3 linked regions of the Zea mays genome follow. The protein of the gene in region 1 interacts with the protein of each later gene in a pairwise test. Links are inferred from orthologs where the notes say so. Each region holds a gene or a part of one and is shown on either strand. Other genes may lie near its edges. The genes, in order: protein ACCUMULATION AND REPLICATION OF CHLOROPLASTS 3; Plastid division protein CDP1, chloroplastic; chitin synthase homolog 1.

What was found.
Region 2: the proteins of protein ACCUMULATION AND REPLICATION OF CHLOROPLASTS 3 (region 1) and Plastid division protein CDP1, chloroplastic interact in binary tests that used the Arabidopsis thaliana proteins (3 or more experiments, as listed by UniProt). The link is inferred for Zea mays from reciprocal best matches to the Arabidopsis thaliana genes ARC3 and PARC6.
Region 3: the proteins of protein ACCUMULATION AND REPLICATION OF CHLOROPLASTS 3 (region 1) and chitin synthase homolog 1 interact in binary tests that used the Arabidopsis thaliana proteins (3 or more experiments, as listed by UniProt). The link is inferred for Zea mays from reciprocal best matches to the Arabidopsis thaliana genes ARC3 and MINE1.

Annotation. Positions count from the first base shown.
Region 1 is NC_050102.1:152,658,834-152,662,463, reverse strand, and holds part of protein ACCUMULATION AND REPLICATION OF CHLOROPLASTS 3, read right to left. Parts: intron 3,176-3,630; coding exon 3,063-3,175; intron 2,979-3,062; coding exon 2,907-2,978; intron 2,821-2,906; coding exon 2,710-2,820; intron 2,443-2,709; coding exon 2,261-2,442; intron 711-2,260; coding exon 447-710; intron 335-446; coding exon 258-334; intron 185-257; coding exon 1-184. UniProt on the Arabidopsis thaliana protein: Together with MIND1 and MCD1, regulates FtsZ ring positioning in chloroplasts in an ARC6-dependent manner. Z-ring accessory protein involved in the initiation of plastid division and division site placement (might functionally replace bacterial MinC).
Region 2 is NC_050097.1:1,989,016-1,993,160, reverse strand, and holds the start of Plastid division protein CDP1, chloroplastic, read right to left. Parts: upstream 2,861-4,145; 5' UTR 2,790-2,860; coding exon 2,541-2,789; intron 2,215-2,540; coding exon 2,101-2,214; intron 1,993-2,100; coding exon 1,855-1,992; intron 1,208-1,854; coding exon 1,103-1,207; intron 999-1,102; coding exon 876-998; intron 791-875; coding exon 422-790; intron 337-421; coding exon 241-336; intron 167-240; coding exon 41-166; intron 1-40. Other genes in the region: Thioredoxin X, chloroplastic, read left to right, coding at 3,960-4,145. UniProt on the Arabidopsis thaliana protein: Component of the plastid division machinery required for PDV1 localization to constriction sites. Involved in chloroplast division site placement. Required for the proper formation of FtsZ rings at the division site in nongreen plastids (e.g. etioplasts).
Region 3 is NC_050105.1:18,841,283-18,845,463, reverse strand, and holds the start of chitin synthase homolog 1, read right to left. Parts: upstream 2,903-4,181; 5' UTR 2,850-2,902; coding exon 2,742-2,849; intron 460-2,741; coding exon 1-459. UniProt on the Arabidopsis thaliana protein: Acts as a topological specificity factor during plastid division and specify plastid constriction sites (such as the Z-ring) in a MCD1-dependent manner. Especially involved in epidermal plastids division in a FTSZ1-dependent manner.

The sequences.
Region 1 (3,630 bases):
ATATCTGGAGAATGATCAGACTGAACTTTGCTAAGTTTTACACCAACAGGAAGAGCGACAGCATCAAGCTCATCATTTTTACTGCTTCCACTTGCCATCACACGCTGCTTAGCCCACGATTGTGCAATATCAAAACCAGGGGAGTTGCTCAAGAAGCGATGTTCCTGCTGTGAAACTAAATGCCCTGTCAATGAAACTTAAGTTAGAAAAGCACAAGCAAACAAAATAAAGGACGTGGTGCACACAAACAATTTTACCGTTGTCATCATCTTTGTTCATTTCTCCAGTAACTGCCAGATCACCTTCCAGAGATTCTGGCTTTATTCTCTGATTCCTAAGACAGAATTGCAGTGCACATGCTTGGTCATAACAATAGTTATTTTTTTTTAAAAAAAAGGAACTAGCTTTCCTGGGACAAAAGGAAAGAAGCCAAGTCTGTAAGTTACCTCACAGATTCCAAATCCTCAAATTCTTCAGGAAATGATTTGGAAACAGTAGCATCAGATGACCGATTAGAAACTCGCGAGAATTCGTCTTGTTCTACAGAATTAAATCTGTTGTCAGGCAGTCGATTAAAGGAATGCTTCGACCTAATTTGTTTCTGCTCAGGGGTATCTCCTCCCATAAGAGAAGATATAAAAGGAAAATGCAAGGCCAAACTTGAAAGGAATCCCTCTTGTACTGTGGAAACACTTCCGTCATAGTGGTTTCTGTAAAAAAAAATTGCAGCACAAAATCAACCACTAATATCAGCAATTGTCACCGATGGGTGAGTAGAGAAAAACTACATAAGTTAATTTTAAAACAAAACAGTATATCTGACCTAGCACAAATTCAAGTTGAGTAAAATGTAGTATCTTTTGCACAACTATTTTTTTAGACTACATACTGCTAGACTACAGTCTATAGCACATTAGCACTGTTCTAAAGGCGTCGCCTAGGCGTCCAGGCGGTGGTCCAACGCCTAGGCGCCTTGCTCGTCTACCTCGCCTAGGCGTCCAGGCGGCAGTCCAACGTCTTGTCTCGCCATACCGCTTTAAAACCCATGGTCTATAGTGATATTTATTAACACCATAATCACATAGAAAAGCTGAAAATCCGTAACAACATGAGACAACATCAGGAAGAATGAGAGTAACACTATTTTTGCACATATCTGTTTAAATATAGAAAGTAACAACTTATGAAAAAAGTAATCAATTAATGTTTCTTTCAAATATACCCTTATCAAGAAAAGAATGAGAAATTGAAGGTCTTTCTCCAATAAAATGGCAGGACAATCTTTTAACCATGAAAAGTGGAAAAAGCATCAGATACCACAACTATAAAGACTTCACTAACGGTGATAAAGATTGCACCATACACCATAGTAGTTATGTGAACTGTGAGAAAGTATATAACACTACCCAGCAAAATAGATGAGTCTCAAAGCAAGAATGTGAAAGAAATGGGAAGGGAATAGCTGAATATACTACCATGTCATACAAGGGGTAAGAAACTCATCCTCATGTCTGCTCAAAGTGTTTTACTAAAAAACATGCTGATGTACATTTATCTCAAGATCACATGATCAGTTTGTTATTCATATATCAATAAGATAATCAACACATGCAATACAACTCAAAGATTTAGCCCTTTTTAATTATCCTTATCTTAGATGATTTACTTAACAAAATGCGAGATGATATAAAACATACATTAAAGTCGTGGACTAAATTCACTAACCAAGCCACGGATTCGACATGTAATTGGACCGTTTTCTATCTATTAGCGAAATGACACGCAGTCGTTTTTTTTTTTGCATTTTAGCCTTTTTTCAAAAAAAAATCACATTTAATCCCTGGATGATTTAATAGCGTTTTTGAACCCTCTTGCTCAGCGCCATAGCACATAGTGCCGAGGTAACACTGCTTGGCGCCACAGGCCATGGCGCCAAGGTCTCATCCTCCCTGGCATCTGAGGACTTCGCTGGCGCGGCCGAGATCTTGGCGCCATGGCCTGTGGCGCCGAGCAGTGTTAACTCGGCGCCATATGCTATGGCGCTGAGCAAGAGGGTCCAAAAACGGGAATACTTCGTCCAGGGCCCGAAACATGATTTTTTTATAGAAAAAATGGCTAAATTGAAAAAAAAAATCGGGCTCTCCTACCTGTTCGAGAAAAAAGTCGTGGAGTATGATTAAGGAATGATAAATGAAAAGGTTCATTAAAAACCAGGCTGATCATTTGAGTTTTCTGTATCAGCTGCTATGCGATAACTTACCGGATAGTTAGAAGAGAAACTACTATCAGTTTTGGCTCTAAATCAGATTCAGAATTTCTAGAAAATATAATATCTTTGGTGAACCCAGTAACTCGACGGAAGATGTGCAGAATAGAGATCAAGTCACTTTCAGACAACACCCGAGCAGTTGTAAGGGAGAGGAAAACCACATTGTTCAAGTCCTACACAAAAATAATATGTAAACAAATCAGTGCAGTCAAAATATAAGCGAGCAGCACAAATATTTCATGGCTACAAATTTCCGCAGATATACAAGTTGCATTGATGCATATGTATAGCAGATTTTGGCCTTTTTGCACAGGCACCGTTTAAGTCAAGATGCCAAAACATAAACAAAATTCCCTTTCCTTTTTAACATTTCGTATAGAATATAGAATAAAGTAATAAACACATCAAAAGTTACAAAAAAAGAAGACAATCAATTCCACCTTTATGCCACCACGAAGAAATGGACAGTGAAAGACAGCCTGCTTAATTGCTGACTGGATGTTATAACCAGCACCAAAGCCAACTCTAGCTTCCCCATAGCTTCTGAGTAGCTGTTAAGTTGTAGACTGTAAGAATCATTTAATAAAAGCTAATGTCAAGATGATGGAACTTAGTAGTAAGGAAATATCTTTATAACCTTGGCTACTTCCTCAGGACCAACTTCCTTAATTTGTGCATTAAGGGAACTCCAGAACATCTTATTATAACCCTGATATTTAGAGAAAAAATGGAATTAAAAAGTAGAGTGCATTATTTCATATCATAGCACAGCGTAGAAGGATTTAAAACTCACAGACATCATGATAGATATCATGCTAATAGTTGACAGGACAGCATTATTGGCACTTTCCAAAGCTTCGGCAAGAGTTTCCACTTCCGTCTCAAGCAATGAATCAGCTTCAATAACTGTGACAGTATAGATGAAACCGTAATTATTTAGACTACAAGCCACTGTTCTTGAATATGGCTAATTACAATAATATTGTGATGCTAGTATTGCATGGAGAAAAAACAGAACTACACGACAAGATTTCACAATAAATCAATACAATGACTATATGCCAATCATCATTCATCAATATCCACACCACCAAAGAGTTTAATATTACTCAAAGGACAAAACCCACTTAGCTTGTCATAACGAATAGTTTCACGTTCACCATCTCATTGTAAAACTTAAGTTTAGCATGTTAAGCAGCATCCATTTTCTTCTTATCACCATCTCAACCTTTGGTGGGACATGTGTGTGCACACCAGGGCCTATACAAACTTATGATCTAGGAACCGGGACTCGGGAGCATAATGCACAACTAGTGAAATATCAGTCCTATTATAGGTCAATTATGAAGGAAGCGGTGTAA
Region 2 (4,145 bases), on another chromosome or scaffold:
AGTAAAGCTTATTTGCTCCAATTGAACAGATGCAACATACCAGTGATTGGTTGACAGTAACCTTGCCACTGCTGTCTTTCTTTTTATCCAATCCATAGTTCTTTGAATTTGAACTTCCAGTACTTTGAAGCTGCTGAAGCTTTTCAAATACTGTGGTTCCAGTTTCCTGAGAGCTAATCATTAGTTCTAGTAATGCAAGGAACTAAAGCTAATTTAGTCAGATTGAGATAAGTTTATAACCTCTCCAAGAAGATATGAGCAGAAAGATTCCTCAAATTTTAGGTCTGTGCTCTCAGATGCAACTAAACATTCACAGATGGTTTTAGCTTTCTTGATCTGCACAGATGTAAAACAAATTAAAAATAATGCAAAGAGATAGCAACTTCTACAGGTTGCCAAGCGAGTGAGAAAAAGAGGGTACCAACTCAGTCTGGCGGGTTGTAAATCCAAATGCAAGGTGAGCAAGCATCGCCATGTAAAAGCAATTGAAGTCAACTACAACCCGCTGGCTCTGGGACTCCAACGATCTTTTATTTTTACGAGTTGTAGCCAAAGTATCCCAAGTAAGAAGATCCACAATTTCATTGGCTAATAGTTTGTCCATTGCTTGACCCAAGAAACAAGGCCAGTCATGGACTCTACAAGATGATTCAACATCAAGGCCCTGTCTAAGCAGTTCACAGAGAGCTGCAATAGCACCTCGCCTGCGTTCAGAATTTTCAAGTGTCTGAGGCAAGCTTAGAAGCTCCAATGTGCAAGCAGGCGCAAGCTCTTCAAGTGATTCTTCAATCTGGACCACCAATGAATAAGTTATGGCATGATTTTGTATTTACTATTCAGAAGAACTTGTTCATGTAGAAGTAATAACATCACACCTGTTCAAGAATGGGCATCTTCTCCAAAGATGGTTTTCTCCTCAAAAGATATTGAGCGCGTGCCAGAGCCTCAAAGCCAAGGGACACTTTACTCTTCTCAAAGCTGGCTTTTGCTATAGAGCACTACAACGAAATGCATGGAACCATCTAAATGTGAGAGAAGTTCCTAACAATTCATCAAACAGCTGTTAAAGAAAATATGGAAAAGATCCTTATGTTATTCTTACTTCTGCTAATGCCATTGCAAGAAGCACATCGTGAACATAAGGTTTAGAATCAGGGCGTCGTAGAGCCGCCTGACCAATTTCCAAAACTAGCTTCTCTTCTCCAACCTGAAACAAGACTGAAACATCATACATGGATGAAGAGCGAATAAACCAGTATTGCAATACATAATGGCAAGCAAAAAATGCATGTTTAACTTCGAAAATTAGGATGCTAAGACATCCTTCGTGCTGGGATTTTCAAAGCTAACAGTGCATTTCAGCATGGAAAATTTTCAATAGTGACAATTTTGGCACTTTACACTGTCTTGCCTGATGTCCTGATCTGAAGAAAGAACAGTAGTTATTATTTACACACTGAAAAACATGATCCTAAAGGTACCTGGCTACGCCCTTTCATAAATATTTCAAAGCTTAGGGACATTTAAGTTAACAGAGTTCTGCTCTTATTCCTGTTAAGTTATATTAAATAATTTGGCGTATTAAATATAATACCTGACACGTGAATTGTATATTACCAAGAAGAACATGACACATGTACGATTTAAACCACATACAGATAGTACTCCACAAAATATATCTTAATTTGGTGCAATGAGAAAATTAAAGATAGTCGCTGTAATAACAACTAACTCACTGATCATAGCCAAATAAAGTGAAAAGTCTCAACCAAACAAAACCAGCATTAACTTCATAGCAGCGTGTTACTGGTTCCAACAGACATTTTGATGAGAAATGTCTGTGTGATGCATTACCTCCTGCAAAATACACAGAGCAGCAGGCAACCAGCTCCAAGGTATATGAAGAGAGGACCTAGGTGGAACCTTCTCTTTTATGTTTCCTGCATAATCTTGTTCGAACAGAAGTTTATCTCTGACATCTACTAGGAGAGCCTGACAAAAGGCAACACGCAAATGATTAACATCAGGATTATTGCATTCCCTCACAAAACAAAACATGGGGTACATAAATAGATATAGTTGCAGAAACTAATCAGGAACCTGTCTGAAAGTGGAGACCTCAGCTGTGTATCCATCTTCTATCCCAGCATTTTTCAACTCCATCGCGGCCTTCACGATTTCATCTTTCTCAGCCTTCTCGGTAACGCCTAGCATCTACACGGTCATTGTTAAGCTTAAACATGTCAACCAACAAGTTTTTAAAAAGGACAAATGGTCCAATCGATTGTGAACTGATCAGACGAAAAATCAGAACGCGGTCACACATATTTTTTACTCAAAATGGGAGGGAAGCGCATACAATTACGGATGCGCACATTGAATTCGATTCGTTATATGAAAACGCCGATTCAATCTGCAACCCAGGTAATTAATTGACATGGCGCCGCCGAGATCAAGCGGCGGCGATCAGACAACAGAAGGTGAGCGCCGTTTTCGAAATTGCAGTCGATAAAACAGACCAGGCGACTCCAACCATTCACCTGATAGCAGGTGACGGGGATCTCCACCATGGGTGCAGCGGGAGGCGCCTCCAACCTGCCGCCCTCGGCCGCCACCGGCGCGGCCTCCGCCACCCTGGCACGCACGACCGCCCCTCGCCCGCCGCCGGCCAGGCGTCCACCCGCCGCCGCGGCGGACGCAATGCCGTTCCCGACGACCCCCGCGCGCCGCGTCGAGATCGCCGGGTGAAGCGCCGCTGCGGCCGCGGAGGCCACAGTCGGCATCACCATGGACGCGCTCCCGGGAACCAACCCTAGACGGAGCTCTCCATGTGCGGGGTGAGCTTTTCGGGGTGTCGGGGGTTTTTGCGGGGGTGGAATAAAGCAAGGACGGGAGGGAGAAAGCGTCAGTGAAGAGGAGAGGAGGGAGGGAGGAGGCGTCGTGATGGCGAAGCCGGACGCCGGAGGGAGGGGTTGCGGACCGATGGATCTTGCTCTCTCCGTGGACTTGGTCCATGCGCGCTTTGTACACGTGGCATGGTAGTTTATGCTGGACGAGACAGTTCAGGTGTTGACTGTGACATGCAGCCAGCATCTCTTCTTTTGGATTAATTGCAATTTTTTTTAAAAAAAAATAGATGGTTAGTTTATTTTGATGCAATTGAGTGATATAAAATTTATTTTTTTGAAGCAGTTACTGTAGGGAGTTCCTATAGTTTTTTTAGTGTGGATATGTACAAGTGTAAATATTCAAATTACAGGGAAATCAACTGTAACCATGATTTAATTTTGACTGCTATTTGAGGTTTTACTCTATGACAAAGCAGGATATGAAAATAAATTAGTTTTCAACTTTTTAAAATTAGAGTGGCATATTTCAAACTAACCTTTCTTTTTTTTCTCTATTTTTTTATCCCAGTGATTTCATTTTTAAAATAATATATGATATGATATAATGTAGTATGGTCATTTTGGAAGTTCATACATCATGGTTCAGAAAATTTAGAACAGCTCAAACACAGCAATTAGCAAGCACTGAGCTGCCCTTTCATCCGCAGAAAGAAACAAGTTAACAAGATGCACACCAAAGATGTCATTTTCTCTGTCGAGAATCATTTGTGATTGTTTCTCAGAGAAAAATCTCATATCGAGAAGATTTCGTTGGACGAAAAGTCCACCGCCGGCTCATTCCAAAGCCTGAATTCCGGAAAGACCGTTGCTTCCAAACGAATAGGTCGAATGGGCTGCTCGCGTCCCGTTTCCTTGGCAATTTCATTTTTCTGGGCCGGGCCGAATTCCGCGCCTCAGACGAGTTATGTTACGGGAGAAAAACAAAACAAAAATCAGCCCCTCGCCCACAAATCTCGGCCGCGGAACAGAACTGGTGGCGTACTGTCCACTGGCAACACCTTCGAGAAGATTCCTCTCCTCTCCTCCCCGCGCGCTGCCTCCGCTCCGCTCATGTCGTCCGCGCCGAGCACCACGGCGTCCACCATCGCAGCCTCTATCCACACGCCGTTCTCCTCGGGTCCCCGCGGGGCCCGCCTTCCGGCCGCGCTCCGCCTCTCGCTCGCTCAGCTCCGGTCGGCCGGATGCCGCGCGGCGCCAGGTCGCCTCGCTCGCCCTCGCGCGCGCGTTCGGTGCGGC
Region 3 (4,181 bases), on another chromosome or scaffold:
CTCTGGCTTCACACGGCGCACAGGAACTGACACAGAGTACACGGTGCCAAGGCCAGCATCAGTTGAGATATCCACTTGGACGTTATCCCTTGATTCTATCTCAACAAACTCAGACAGTGCCTCAATGATGTTCTCCACGATCTTTTTCTTTGCCTCATCACTGACTTCACACCTGTCGGAGAACAGGATCATCTTAAGCCTCTGTTTTGCGATGTTTGCATTGGAGGTATCCTTTGTGGTTGGTGCAGAAAACATTATCTTCCACGCTAATTTCAGACGGTCAAGAAAACCCATGTTAACAACATTGTGAAGGAAGCCTTCCACATCTTGAGTTATAGGAGAAAAATCCTTCCTAGAAAGAGCATAGTTCTGGGTGGAGCTGCGAGAACACCTTTGATGTTGAACACATAGCCGGCTGTGATTGCTAGATGCTCCATGAGGAAAAGTACAAAAATGGCCCTGTAGCATGACACAACTAAAATGGTATGAATTCCAGTATATTCATTGCAAACATGCTAAGAGCACATCATGGTACAAAAGCTAGTGCAATCCCAGTAAGATCCAACTGCCAATCCTAAACTCACCATACTGAGACTTGCAGTAATTTGAATAACGTCAGATCCGTATACTGTAACAGTTCAGCGAGTGGCACAACCACACTAGCTTAGTTGTTTAAATACACACACATGTATGTTGAGTTATTGCATGAGTAAGCATACATTCAGGCCTTCTGTAAACTGAAGAAATATGCACATGAAACAAACCACATTTGATCGAATGAATGAACAGAAAGACACCTAATAGAGCAATGATAACATAACTACAGGGCGGAAACAAACCACATTTGATCGAGTGAATGCATCATATATGCACAAAGTTAGCCTCAGTTCTCTTATAAATCTTAATGACAAAGCCAGTCTACTCTCATGTTGCAATTTCTCATTTCAGCACTGAAAACAAACGATGCTTAACTTGAGGTTTATATCAAAGAAATTGAAAGGAACATGATACACAATATTATACATACAGATTTTCCTCTTTTCTAACTACCTATCCAACAACATACCCTCTAGATCTACCATGTAGTACTGTACTATGAAAAACATGTCAATGAAAGAAAAGAAGGAATCATCCGGTTTGGATAGTGTCAGTAATACTGATATTTGCAAAGTATGAAACGAGATAACCATACTATAGGAGATGGAGGCAGAACAAAGGGAAGGAAAATAAAGAACAGCCCAAAAATCGGCCAGTACCAAGCAAACCTAGACATGGAAATCAGACAGTCTGGTATTATTAAGCAAGGCTAATATTGCTAGCACTATAACAAACACACCGACCTCACAAGCTTAGGGAACCCATGTGAAATATAGGAATCAAACCACTGCCAATTTAAAATTACAGGTACTTTGTCAGACTAAACTCTATATTTTTTTACAATACATTAGCAATTAGCCTACACATCACATATACTGATAACTGATTGCTATGGAGAAGACCAATACGAAAGGAGACAAAGTGGTTGACTTTGAGTTTGGGCAGAACCATCAAATGGGATACAAAAGCTGCACATATAAGCCAACACATAAAAACATGACGAGAAGATCCTTTCACCTAAAAATCAAATACAGGGCACTTATTCATGGTAGGACAATCAGTACACGACACCTCTTTTCTATGACATGATGCTTACATATCAACCCAGATATTTAGAATCCAAAAAACGTACATCCCAAGAATGTTGGGGCAAGCAAAATAATAAAATGTCAAATCTAGGAAAAATGCAGATCTAAAAGTACAGGTAATCCTTAGGCCATGTTTGGTCGGGCTTCTTTGCAAACAACTAATCTAAGAAGACAGAATCTGGAGCAGCCACATTTAGGTGGCTTCACCAACCTAGTACAAAAAAAAAGAGCTTCTCCCCTCCGGTAGGGTTTGGCAAACCTTTTTTTGAACGTAATGGTCCGCCTCTCAATTAAGAATGGAATTAACCCTGTTTTAAGGAAAAACCGGGCCCAAAATCTAACAAATACAAGAAGGTAGCCCAACGTGGAGCAAACACTGAACACACGAAGGGCTAACCCACCAACACGACGCGTAAGAGCACACATAACTGCCATGAGTCATCGCTTCCAAGCTAGATTGAAAAGCAGCCGGTGGCTCCGACTTCCCATGGCAAACCCCGGACGAACCAAACGAAAACAGACAGACGGCTTGAAGTGAAAGGTCGCAACAGGTCATTATTTTGCTTGCCTTAAACATTTATTATTTTGCTTGGGGCTTCAACATTTGGGGCTAATAAACGTTTGGGGCAAGCAAACTCAAAGAGGGCCTTAACGTTTTCCAGAAATGCAAGTGTTCCATGGGCCTACCTCACACCAATGTGGGCACTAAATCTCTATTTTGTCTTGTCAAATTAATTCCTCCATTCCCAGTTCCTAAGATGCACTTGAACATTTAGCCTACCAATCAACATAAAAATGCACTTCGCACATTCGTCAGACTGACACGAGGCAGCCTCACCCACCCATCGGACCTTCAGAGGCATGCACAAACGCCGAAGAGTAACAACCGCACGGCGGACTTCCAGCAGCCTACCGGAGCATCTCCCCGCAGAAAACTGGGCCTCCCGAGCCAATCGAAAGCCGCATACTCGTACTAATTCCACCTCAAACACGCAGGATAAACTAAATAAATGCTAGGGTTTATGGGACGGGGAGCAGCCGAGCAGGAGTCCGAACCTTGGGACCAGCGACAAGACGGAACGGCGGGCGGAGCGAGGACGCGGACGGCGCGATGAGCGCACCGGAGTCGCCGCCGACGCAGCCGCCGAAGATGGACATCGCCATGATGGATGCGACTGTGCTAGGGTTTTGCGCACCAGCCCCTTTTCCCCTTTTTCTTTTCGCTTTGTCCTCAGTGTTGGAGGCTGGTAGACTGGACTCTCGTTGGAATTTGGAAGGAAGTTGGAACGGCTGCATTGGTGCCACCAGCTCGCTTGTGCGATTTGGCTGTGTAAGGTTGGGTGTCTTAAATTGTGTCTCAGAGTGTGTCTAGTGGATGAATGTAAAAAACTCAAGACATGTATCTTGACGAAGACACAGTGTTTTAGCTCTATGTTTGAGACAGGAGACTAGCTGATTGATCACTTTAATTTATTGAATGTTCTGATTGTTACAATGAATATGGTAAGACACATGTTTTAGACATGACCACTGTATTATGTTGTGTTTTATTTGTGCCTTATACTTGGAGTACCGTGCAGCAGTGTCTAGGTTGTACATGCTCTAACCCAAGTTTAGTCACCTTACTTTAGTCACTATTTATTTTTTTAAGACTAAAAGTGACTAAAGTCTAGTCATTAAATTTTAATCACCTCAAACTAAAGAGAGTCTAACTTCTATAAGAATCACTTTAGCCAAAACTGTCTAAAATCAATGTGAATATATAATCGACCGACTTGTTGCGATAGTAGTAAACTGTCACTTTCAAAATCATAAACTCTATAGACTTTTTTATCTTCCTCCAAACGTAATTTTCACGATATTCAGAATCTCTCCACAGTTAGATTGGTCAGGCCAACTACTTGCGTGTTTGGTTTAAGGATTTAAAAATTTCAATGTTTTTCAAAAAAAAATCAAATCTATTTACAGCCCATTTGTTTTTTTGGACCGAAACACTTATCAATAACTTTGATTCGATCTTATTTTCACTCTCCATTATTTTAGCATGCCACTAATTCTTACCCTAACACCAAAAAAGTTGTAGAATCCTTTTCACTTCCAACTCATGAGCAACCGTGGTGTCGTTGTCGATGACGACAACAGGGTGGGACAAGGCATCCATGGGGCACCAAACGTGTGGTCGCTTGTTAGTGGCGGTGGCAATCAAAGAGGTGTCGGCTCGAGAAGGCCGAGTAGTGGGCTCCGTTTGGCAGTGGCATGCGAAGGCGGGCGGCAGTCACCATCGCGGTGGACATTCCAGCAACACCACCACCCCCGCTAGCCAGCCATCACCACTGACAACCACTAGCGTCGAGGGAAGAGCCAACGAAGTCTTCTAGAGACAAAGCTTTGGTAGGAAGGGAGGTATATCTCTAGGTTGGCGAGCGGTGGAGACCGAAGAGGGGAGCTTGAGCTTGCTTTGGGTCGCGGTCTTTCTGCTTCGGGGAGTGCTGGATT